2 linked regions of the Coturnix japonica genome follow. The protein of the gene in region 2 binds, or shares a complex with, the protein of the main gene of each other region. Links are inferred from orthologs where the notes say so. Each region holds a gene or a part of one and is shown on either strand. Other genes may lie near its edges. The genes, in order: NDE1 and RAB9A.

Evidence for each region.
Region 1: the proteins of RAB9A (region 2) and NDE1 are in contact, whole or in part, in a crystal structure (PDB 7E1T), measured with the Homo sapiens proteins. The link is inferred for Coturnix japonica from reciprocal best matches to the Homo sapiens genes RAB9A and NDE1. Residues at the interface, in NP_001182257.1 of Homo sapiens: Ile40, Val42, Phe44, Asn46, Gln59, Trp61, Arg68, Phe69, Ser71, Leu72, Pro75, Phe76; in NP_001137451.1 of Homo sapiens: Asp99, Gln102, Thr103, Ala105, Ile106, Gln109, Leu110, Tyr113.

What each region holds. Positions count from the first base shown.
Region 1 is NC_029529.1:7,391,015-7,394,823, reverse strand, and holds part of NDE1 (nuclear distribution protein nudE homolog 1), read right to left. Parts: intron 2,596-3,809; 5' UTR 2,547-2,595; coding exon 2,461-2,546; intron 2,098-2,460; coding exon 1,944-2,097; intron 133-1,943; coding exon 1-132. UniProt on the Homo sapiens protein: Required for centrosome duplication and formation and function of the mitotic spindle. Essential for the development of the cerebral cortex.
Region 2 is NC_029516.1:110,827,695-110,832,173, forward strand, and holds the start of RAB9A (ras-related protein Rab-9A), read right to left. Parts: upstream 2,803-4,479; 5' UTR 2,679-2,802; exon of another isoform or gene 2,665-2,678; intron 1-2,664. UniProt on the Homo sapiens protein: The small GTPases Rab are key regulators of intracellular membrane trafficking, from the formation of transport vesicles to their fusion with membranes.

The sequences.
Region 1 (3,809 bases), on a different chromosome or scaffold from region 2:
GTCATCATTTGCTTGCTCAAGTTCTCGAATGTATTTCTGAAGTTGATCTTTGATAGCTTTTGTCTGTGCCAAGTCATCTTCCAGGGCAGAGATTTGCCTGTACCATTCTGAATGCTGCATTTCAAACTTTTCCTAGCCCAGGACAAATAAAACAGCATATCAGGGACTTGGTATTTTCTTAGTCCCTTTAAAGGCAAAATAAAATAAAATAAAATAAAATAAAATAAAATAAAATAAAATAAAATAAAATAAAATAAAATCCTTTAAAGCACTTAGAGTATATTTAGAAGAGACACCAGAGAGGAAGGAGCTGAACTTCACCAGCACAAACTTCTCTCCAGTTATCTCTTCCAGACATAGTTAGCACCACATGACAGCAAAAGCATCACACTCCACTACCTTGCCACTGGATCAGTTCAACATACCAGAGACTTTTCTGAAGCTGTGAGATTGCTAGATGAATAACATTTCTGAGATTCTTATCTGTTTAGAATTTAACACACTTGAAGTCACTGAAAACAAATCCACATACTGGAACTTGAAAACCATGGCACATAGTTTATCACAGCTGATAATCTGAAGAGAGCTGCTTGCATATAGCACGCAGACAAGGACAAAGGAAAGAGAAACCCATTTAGAATTCATTAATTTCTACTTAGTTAAGTGTGGTGACATGTTGCCATAATTCCTGATCCCTGAACGCACACGTGCACGTTGGCTTTAAGATCCCCCACAAGCTCTAAGAAGCAGATTACTTTTAGCTAGCTTTTCACACTCTTAAATAAGCCTTCCAAAGTATTATTTCCATTTCCAAAGTATTATTTCCATTTATACTCAAGGTAGCTTGAACTCCAGTTTCAGAGGAGTAGCAAGAAGGTAAACTCAAAGCTACAAACTGTGCAGGCCTTATAAAGTTCACTTGTGTTAACCTAGATGTAGACACCAATCCTTGATGGGTTCAGTTAACATTGCTGCTCAATAGCTTCATGAGTTTAATGCTTTGCTCTTGAATTGACTCAGATAAAAGACCAGAACTGCAAGGTTTGAGCCTTTGTTTTCAGCCAATTGTAATAAACCATCAGCTGACATGACCATCAATGGGTCCTCTGTTTCTTCACTGCAGGCTGTTACTGCAATCTTCAGGCTGCACGAATAACCAATTGTTAAAATGTTCATTTCAAGCAGAATATGTTTTTATAAACTTATCTACCGTGAAAATTAAGTAAGGTTTTCTGAAACGTTTGCTCTCTGTGTTGTAGAAGTTTTATGCCAGTTCCTACTATTTTCATTCCCAACTGCTTCAGCTCATTGACTGCCCTTTTTTCTCAGCTCTCACAGCAGAAGAAAGCAATCTATGCTCTCCTTAATCAAATGAAATGCAAGATTTTGTTGAATGGATAGACCTCCTCACTCATCAACTTCCATGGGTTTATGTGACTACAGGGGACAGAACAGGCCAATACTCCATGTAATAAGCAGAGCATTTAATATTGCTATGCCACTGATAAAGCAAGAACCAAGATCAGTGTGACAGAAAAAAGGCAGTTAAGTCAGGCACGGAGCTTTTATTGCCAAAAAGATTGTGGTTGGAGGTTAGAGGTGTGGAAATCACCAAGCTGGGGATGTGGAACAGAACATCTCTTTATTCCAGAGAGGTTAAATTAAAGACTCAAGGAAACAATAGCTGAGATAAACATACACTCAGCTCTGTTCATGTGTGCTCTCCACTCTGCCACAGACAATTTTCTCCTGTTTCAAACCTACACTGAAACACAGCCACATTGCTAATAGGGGTTCAGGAACAACACTGAGATATTTAGAACTCTTCCAAGCAGATTACAGATAGACGTTTCTCAATTTTTCCAAGCTGAATCTGCACACATCAGTCTCATTTACCTTCATGCTTAGGATACACAGTTACTGTAGGTATCATCCACTGTTACCTTAGCAGACTCCAGGTCCATCCGCAAACGATTGTTTTCTGAAAGAAGCTCTCTGTTTCTGGACTCTGTTTGCTGCAGCTGACTTTCCAGTTCAGCTTCATATTCTCGGCTCCCTTCTTGGAATTCACGCAGTTCCTCCTGTGTATTCTCAGCACTAGAACACAGTTCAGCAACAGAATTCACTCCCATGAATCAAAACAATTTCTTGTACACTGGAGGAAGAAAATACTACCTGCTAGCACAGAAAGCCCTCTCCAACACACATAGTCCTACTCAATCTAGAGAAGGGACCAAAAGCAGCAGTGCCATGGCAGCACTAATTCACTGCTCAAATAAGCATGAAGGACTCTGGGCTGATGTAGATTATGCTGAAACCTGCGGTGCTGCACTGCTTCTGCAGCTGCTCAACATAGTGCCACACAGGGAGGTAAATTCAAGGTAGTTCAGCTATTCATCTTGGCATGCACTGCTTATACATCCCATCAAACTGCTTCAAGGAATGAAACCACTGCCTTACCGCTGCTTGTATTTCACAGCCAACTCTTTCCAGTATCTGGCTTCCTCTTCAACTGAGCTGAAGCGATGCTCTTCCGAGTCTTCCATGGTAAGTCCTCAGAGTTTAACACTTTATTTCATTTTTTGCCCTGGAAAACTGAAGGATCAAGCGTTAAGAACTAATGCAGTGAATTAACTTTTTATTCATTTCACTTTTCAATGTACAGTGGTGCACCACTCCTCCCAGGAACGTGGTGCATGTCTGGAGACCAAACTAAAGACCAGCTTCAGCAGCACTCTGCTGGATAGAACAAAAACATGAAAATCTCTACTGAATCAACACAGTCTTTTCTCCAGGTTTCCCAAGGTTGCTGCACACCACATTGCCCACAGCAAGCATCTTCCCTCTGACTACACAGTACAGAAGGCCAAATGTCAAACTTCAGCTACAGCTGCGCCAATGCACACAGAACACAGGTGATAAAGATCTCAGAAGCACCTCCAAATTCAGTTTGACTTCATCAGCCTTAGAGAAACACTGAACAAGAAACTTCCATGAGACACGAAGGTACTCAGGATTCCTCTGTTAACACTTGCAGGAGCACTTAAGATTCTTATGGACATACCTGCTGAACATGAGAAAAACAAAAAACAAAAAACACCTCTCATTACAGTAAAAAAAACTACTTGACTTAAAACCTGAGATATCAGAATGCAGATGTGGCTGATGGGCACAACATATTTGGATACATCAGAGAGCCATGGGAGAAGGGAATACCAGAAATTCCTAGGGAAAAGATGCTAAGAGCTCCACAGAGGTTCTAGTGGGATAGCATCTGGTTAGACTAGATGTACAGATAGATGCAGCAACCTAGTGAGCAATCCAGACCAGCCAGCAGTCCTTGTGCAAGCATAAGCACAGGTACACGTCATAGTCCCAAAAAGGAATGACACATACAAGAGCCATGTGGAAATTAAGCACCTTAAGTTGGTAACTCCTGCTTGAAATCTAATTAGGTACTATAATTAAATGCCTTCTGATGTGCATAATGTGCTCAAATAAACAGGTAACTAGCAAGTATCATTTTATATGAGGTAGTCTTGACAAGGGAGAAATATCAGTCATAAAGCTCTGGATAATTTGCCAAGGGCAACCCTAAGTGAGGCAAAGATTCCAAAGACATTACAAATTTAATGGACACCTCAGCAGATTGAGGATAGGGAGTCAATCAGGTCATGGCAACAGTTCTTCCAGCTAATTCTACACCTATGGAAAAAAAAATCATAACCCATATTCACACGTACTTCTCTGTAAAACCACCTGGTTTAGGCAGTCAATTTTCTGGTGCATCTCCCAAGACAAACCTGTGC
Region 2 (4,479 bases):
TTTATCACATTAACATAGAAAGAAAACCCATCTCCTGTTTTAGTTCACTAGGAGAGTGGTTAGGCCCTGGAACAGGCTGCCCAGGGAGGTTGTGGATGCCCCGTCCTTGGAGGTGTTCAAGGCCAGGTTGGACGGGACCCTGGGCAACCTGATCTAGTAAATGTGTATGTTTGGTGGCCCTGCCAGGCAGGGGGGTTGGAGCTACGTGATCCTTGAGGTCCCTTCCAACCCGGGTCATTCTGTGATTCTGTGATTCTATAACTCATTAAATACTGACAAATTGCTTCTCTGCAAAATGTCTGGAAAATTACAATAAAATAAAAAACCAACACAAAAACTTGCAGAGCTGCAAGGTCATGGTCAGAATCAAGAATGAAGTGCTGAAAACTAGGTTAACACTTGTTCTTTGTCCGATCCCTCAAATACTACAGCAGTTTTATCACCTTTTGCAGATCTAAAAGTCTCCAGAAAGCTGAAAAGAAAGCAACAGAAACAAACTTACTCCCTCTTCTCTCATTTAGCTACAGAATCCTTGTCCATGTACTTAAAGAGTACTGCCTTATTTACACTCCAGATAAGAAAGCAGTATAAGAACAATTTTCCAGTGGGTAAAGGGCCACAAAGCTTGCCTCACCTTGAAATGTTTTGCTTTAAAATTCAGAGAGGAACAGAGACGAAGTCTCCTCCAAGCTGTGCACTTCTCAATGCAATGCAGTTTTGACCACAACAGCCTTCAAACTGACCTTCCCCTCCAAAAAATACCCGTGTAAAACCTGTGGCTCAGAAATACCCTTTACAGTGGGGTTGTTGACATTTGACAGCAGCCCAATTCTCTGCAAAGCAGGCAGCCCTCCAGTCACATGGCCCGACCCACCGAGATCCCAATCACCCTGCAGGTCTTCCTTCCTTTATCTATGAGCAAACTACTGCAGTGTGATGGCAGCTTATGTTTTATGTCAGATAGATAACTTGATGACAAGAAAAAAAGTTCTTATCTGAAAACTGTCTCCAGTCTTCTGCAGCCTGGTCATAGTTTATCTAACATCAGAATAATCACAGAATGACCCGGGTTGGAAGGGACCTCAAGGATCATATAGTTCCAACCCCCCTGCCTGGCAGGGCCACCAAACATACACCTTTACTAGATCAGGTTACCCAGGGCCCCGTCCAACCTGGCCTTGAACACCTCCAAGGACGGGGCATCCACAACCTCCCAGGGCAGCCTGTTCCAGGGCCTAACCACTCTCCTAGTGAAGAACTTCCCCCTAACATCCAACCTAAATCTTCCCTCTTTTAACTTAAATCCATTTCCCCGTGTCCTGCTATTGTCAGCCCTTTTGAAGAGTTTACTCCCCTCCTGGGAGTAAGTTCCCTTCAGGTATTGAAAGGCTGCAATAACATTGAAGGTTATTCCTAATAATTGAACACAACACAAAATGGATTGACATTGAGCTGTCGTTACTCATTTACATGCCAAAAAGTTGTATTTTTCGTTTCTTTGTAAGGCTACTTGTAACTCCTGTGCAGTTCAGCAGTTGCCTGGAATGACACAAGACAATGGAAGAGGCAGCAGCCAAGAACAGGAATCCTTCAGCCTGCAAAACCCTTGGATCATGAAATCATCCCAGGCCTACTGCCAGAATCTCTTTAGTTACTGTAACTTACATCTAACCACAAAGTGGATCAGAAAAACATATCAGGAGAAACACCACATACGGACCCAGCCTCCACCTTCCACCTCATTACTCACTTCCAAGCTGAATGATCAAACTTAACAACACTGATTAAATTCAGAAAAAGAAAAAAAAGAAAAGAACAATTTTCAGAAACTCACAAGTAAGCATCTCCTAAGTACTTTAAGTACTATGTCATAATAATATCACTGACTTTCAGCCAGCTATAAAGCAACCTTCAGAGTAAGTTGGTCCAGCATCACTAGGAATTCACAGGATCACATTAACTGACCTGCAACCCAACTTGGTTACTGCTCCCTCTCTGTCAGTAGCTTACCAATCAGCTAAATACTATTTCTCATCTGTGCTCCTCTCGACAGTACATGACTCTCCCTTTTCCTTCTGAGATCCTTAGCAATAGCTGCCTCGGTCACTACCACAGAATCACAGAATGACCCGGGTTGGAAGGGACCTCAAGGATCATGTAGTTCCAACCCCCCTGCCTGGCAGGGCCACCAAACATACACATTTACTAGATCAGGATGCCCAGGGCCCCGTCCAACCTGGTCTTGAACACCTCCAAGGACGGGGCAACCGCATAAGCTGCTAACAAAACAAAGCAGACACACAAGAAAATCCCCCTAGAAGCCCATCACTCTCAACCACCCCACGCCGATAAACGGGAGACCAATGACAACAGCGGCCGTGTCGGTGCTGGGCCGCTTCCCAGGCGAGACGCCCGCAGTCACGGGATCCCGCTCACACCACCCGGTCCTCGCCGAGCCGGGCCCTCACCCACCGCCGCCGGGCACAGCCCGCAGCCCTCAGCCCGGCACTCACCAGAGTACAGCCACAACCGAACGGGTACAAGGGGAACAGCGAGACCCTCTGCACCCCAAAGCTGCCGGGGCAGGATCCGCACAACAAGCCGTCACCCACCCCGGACACCAGCCCCTACCGTGCCCTCCCCTCAGAGTCCCTCCGCACCCACCAAACAGCCACTACCTGCCCACGGATAGGAGCTGCCCACAGCACCGAGACACAGCTGCGCCGCCGGGCGCTGAGGGAAGGGAGAAACAACATGGCGGAACAGACGGGGGTGGGGGCGGGCCGGTGACGTGTGTCCCGCTTGGCTCTGCCCCCGGCAGGACAGGGGAGGGGAAGGGAGAGGAGGGGCGGTGAGACCCCGCCCTTCCAGGGGGTGCCCGCTGCCGTGGGTGGAGCAGGGGGAACCTGTCACTGGGGCAGCTCGGTGTGAAGGTCGAGTGGTTGTTTGAGAACATGACAGCAGGGAAGAAATCTAAAGAAATCGGCTACAGAGTATCTGTTACGCTCTTACAGCGTGTTATAGGAATGACGAAACGTGTAGAAATGTATTTAAGTGTATTTTGAAGAGGTCCCCGCATCATGAAGAGGAACGGGTGATTATAGGCTTAAGGGATGAGCCTTTGAAACACCACTTTGCCCCAGCAGCCGTCACATGCTTTCGATCACAAGGGTGAGGCAATCAGACTGGATCTGCCGCTTGCACAGTCATCTGGGGTTTGGATCAGATGTACTAAGGAATGGAAAACAAGATCTCTGTGTTATCGGAGGGAAATGCCTCCCACTGACAGCAGCACCCAGGCTAAAGGCAATGCGATGACACTACCGGCATTCTTACTTAACAAAGCTGGACTCTGAAAACGTTTAAAGACTTGTTTCCTGGGACCTGCTTTCATCTGCTTTTTTTCCCCCTCAGCTCCCCCTGCTACTGTTATTCATGTTTGGTACAAAAAGTGCTTGCTGTAGCACGCTGAGGAACCCCAGGAGCACTGCTGGTGATCATGGCACTCAAGGAAGACAGGCCTGTCACGCCTCAGCAGCAGGTTGAAGGAAATTACGCCTCAGCAGCAGGTTGAAGGAAATTACCACCTGAGATGTTGCGTGGCCATTTCACACCAAAATCACTCTGATTTCAGATCCGGATGGAAACATCGCTCCATAATGGCACCACAGGCCTAGCCCCCACCCCAGACCTGTGGCCCTGATTTGGCCTTGGCATGGCCTGTCCCTGTGGGCTGGCTGAATCCACTGGCTGGGCCTGCCTTGGCTGGATGCTGTGGGCCTTCTTCCTGAGGTCTCCATCCACATACCCTGCACTGCCAGCCCTGTAGCAGAATGAGGGTTGGTTTTATGCCAACATCTATCAACAGCAGAATGGCAAGCAGAGGACAGTGGGGGTTTTCATTCAAGGGAATGTTCTGCATCAGCAAAGCCCCCGTGCAGCACAGCTCGTGAATATTGCTTTTTACCATCCGTAATTGGCAAGGAGACTTTGTCCCATCCTGGCAAGTGATGACCTTGCTTCAATAAAACATGACTCTGTCACCTCCTGTCTGAATCAGGGCAATAAAAAATAAGGGGATATGAAGTCAGCTGCTTTTATTGCTCAGCTAATACCACACTGTGGCAAGCCAGGCCCCCCAAACAAGTATCAAAGTGCTCCTTATTTCCCAGACATTCAATGATCTGGGCCATTACACCCTGCGTACTCCTCAAAGGATCATAATTTAACATGTTTGTTCCTTATCAACAGTTAACAATGAGTAGCTAACCTCTTTTTGCTAGCATAGAACAAAACAAACAAAAATACAGTAAATGAACCTTTCCTTTTGTATGTACCATGGCAGTCTCAAATGAAATAAACAACAAAAGTGCACTGTTTCCCTTTTGTCTTAGAAAGGAAGGAAAAGTTCTAAACAACAAACGGCAGTAGAGCAACGTGCTACAGGAAAATAGCTGAGGGAAAACCCAAAGGCCCCCA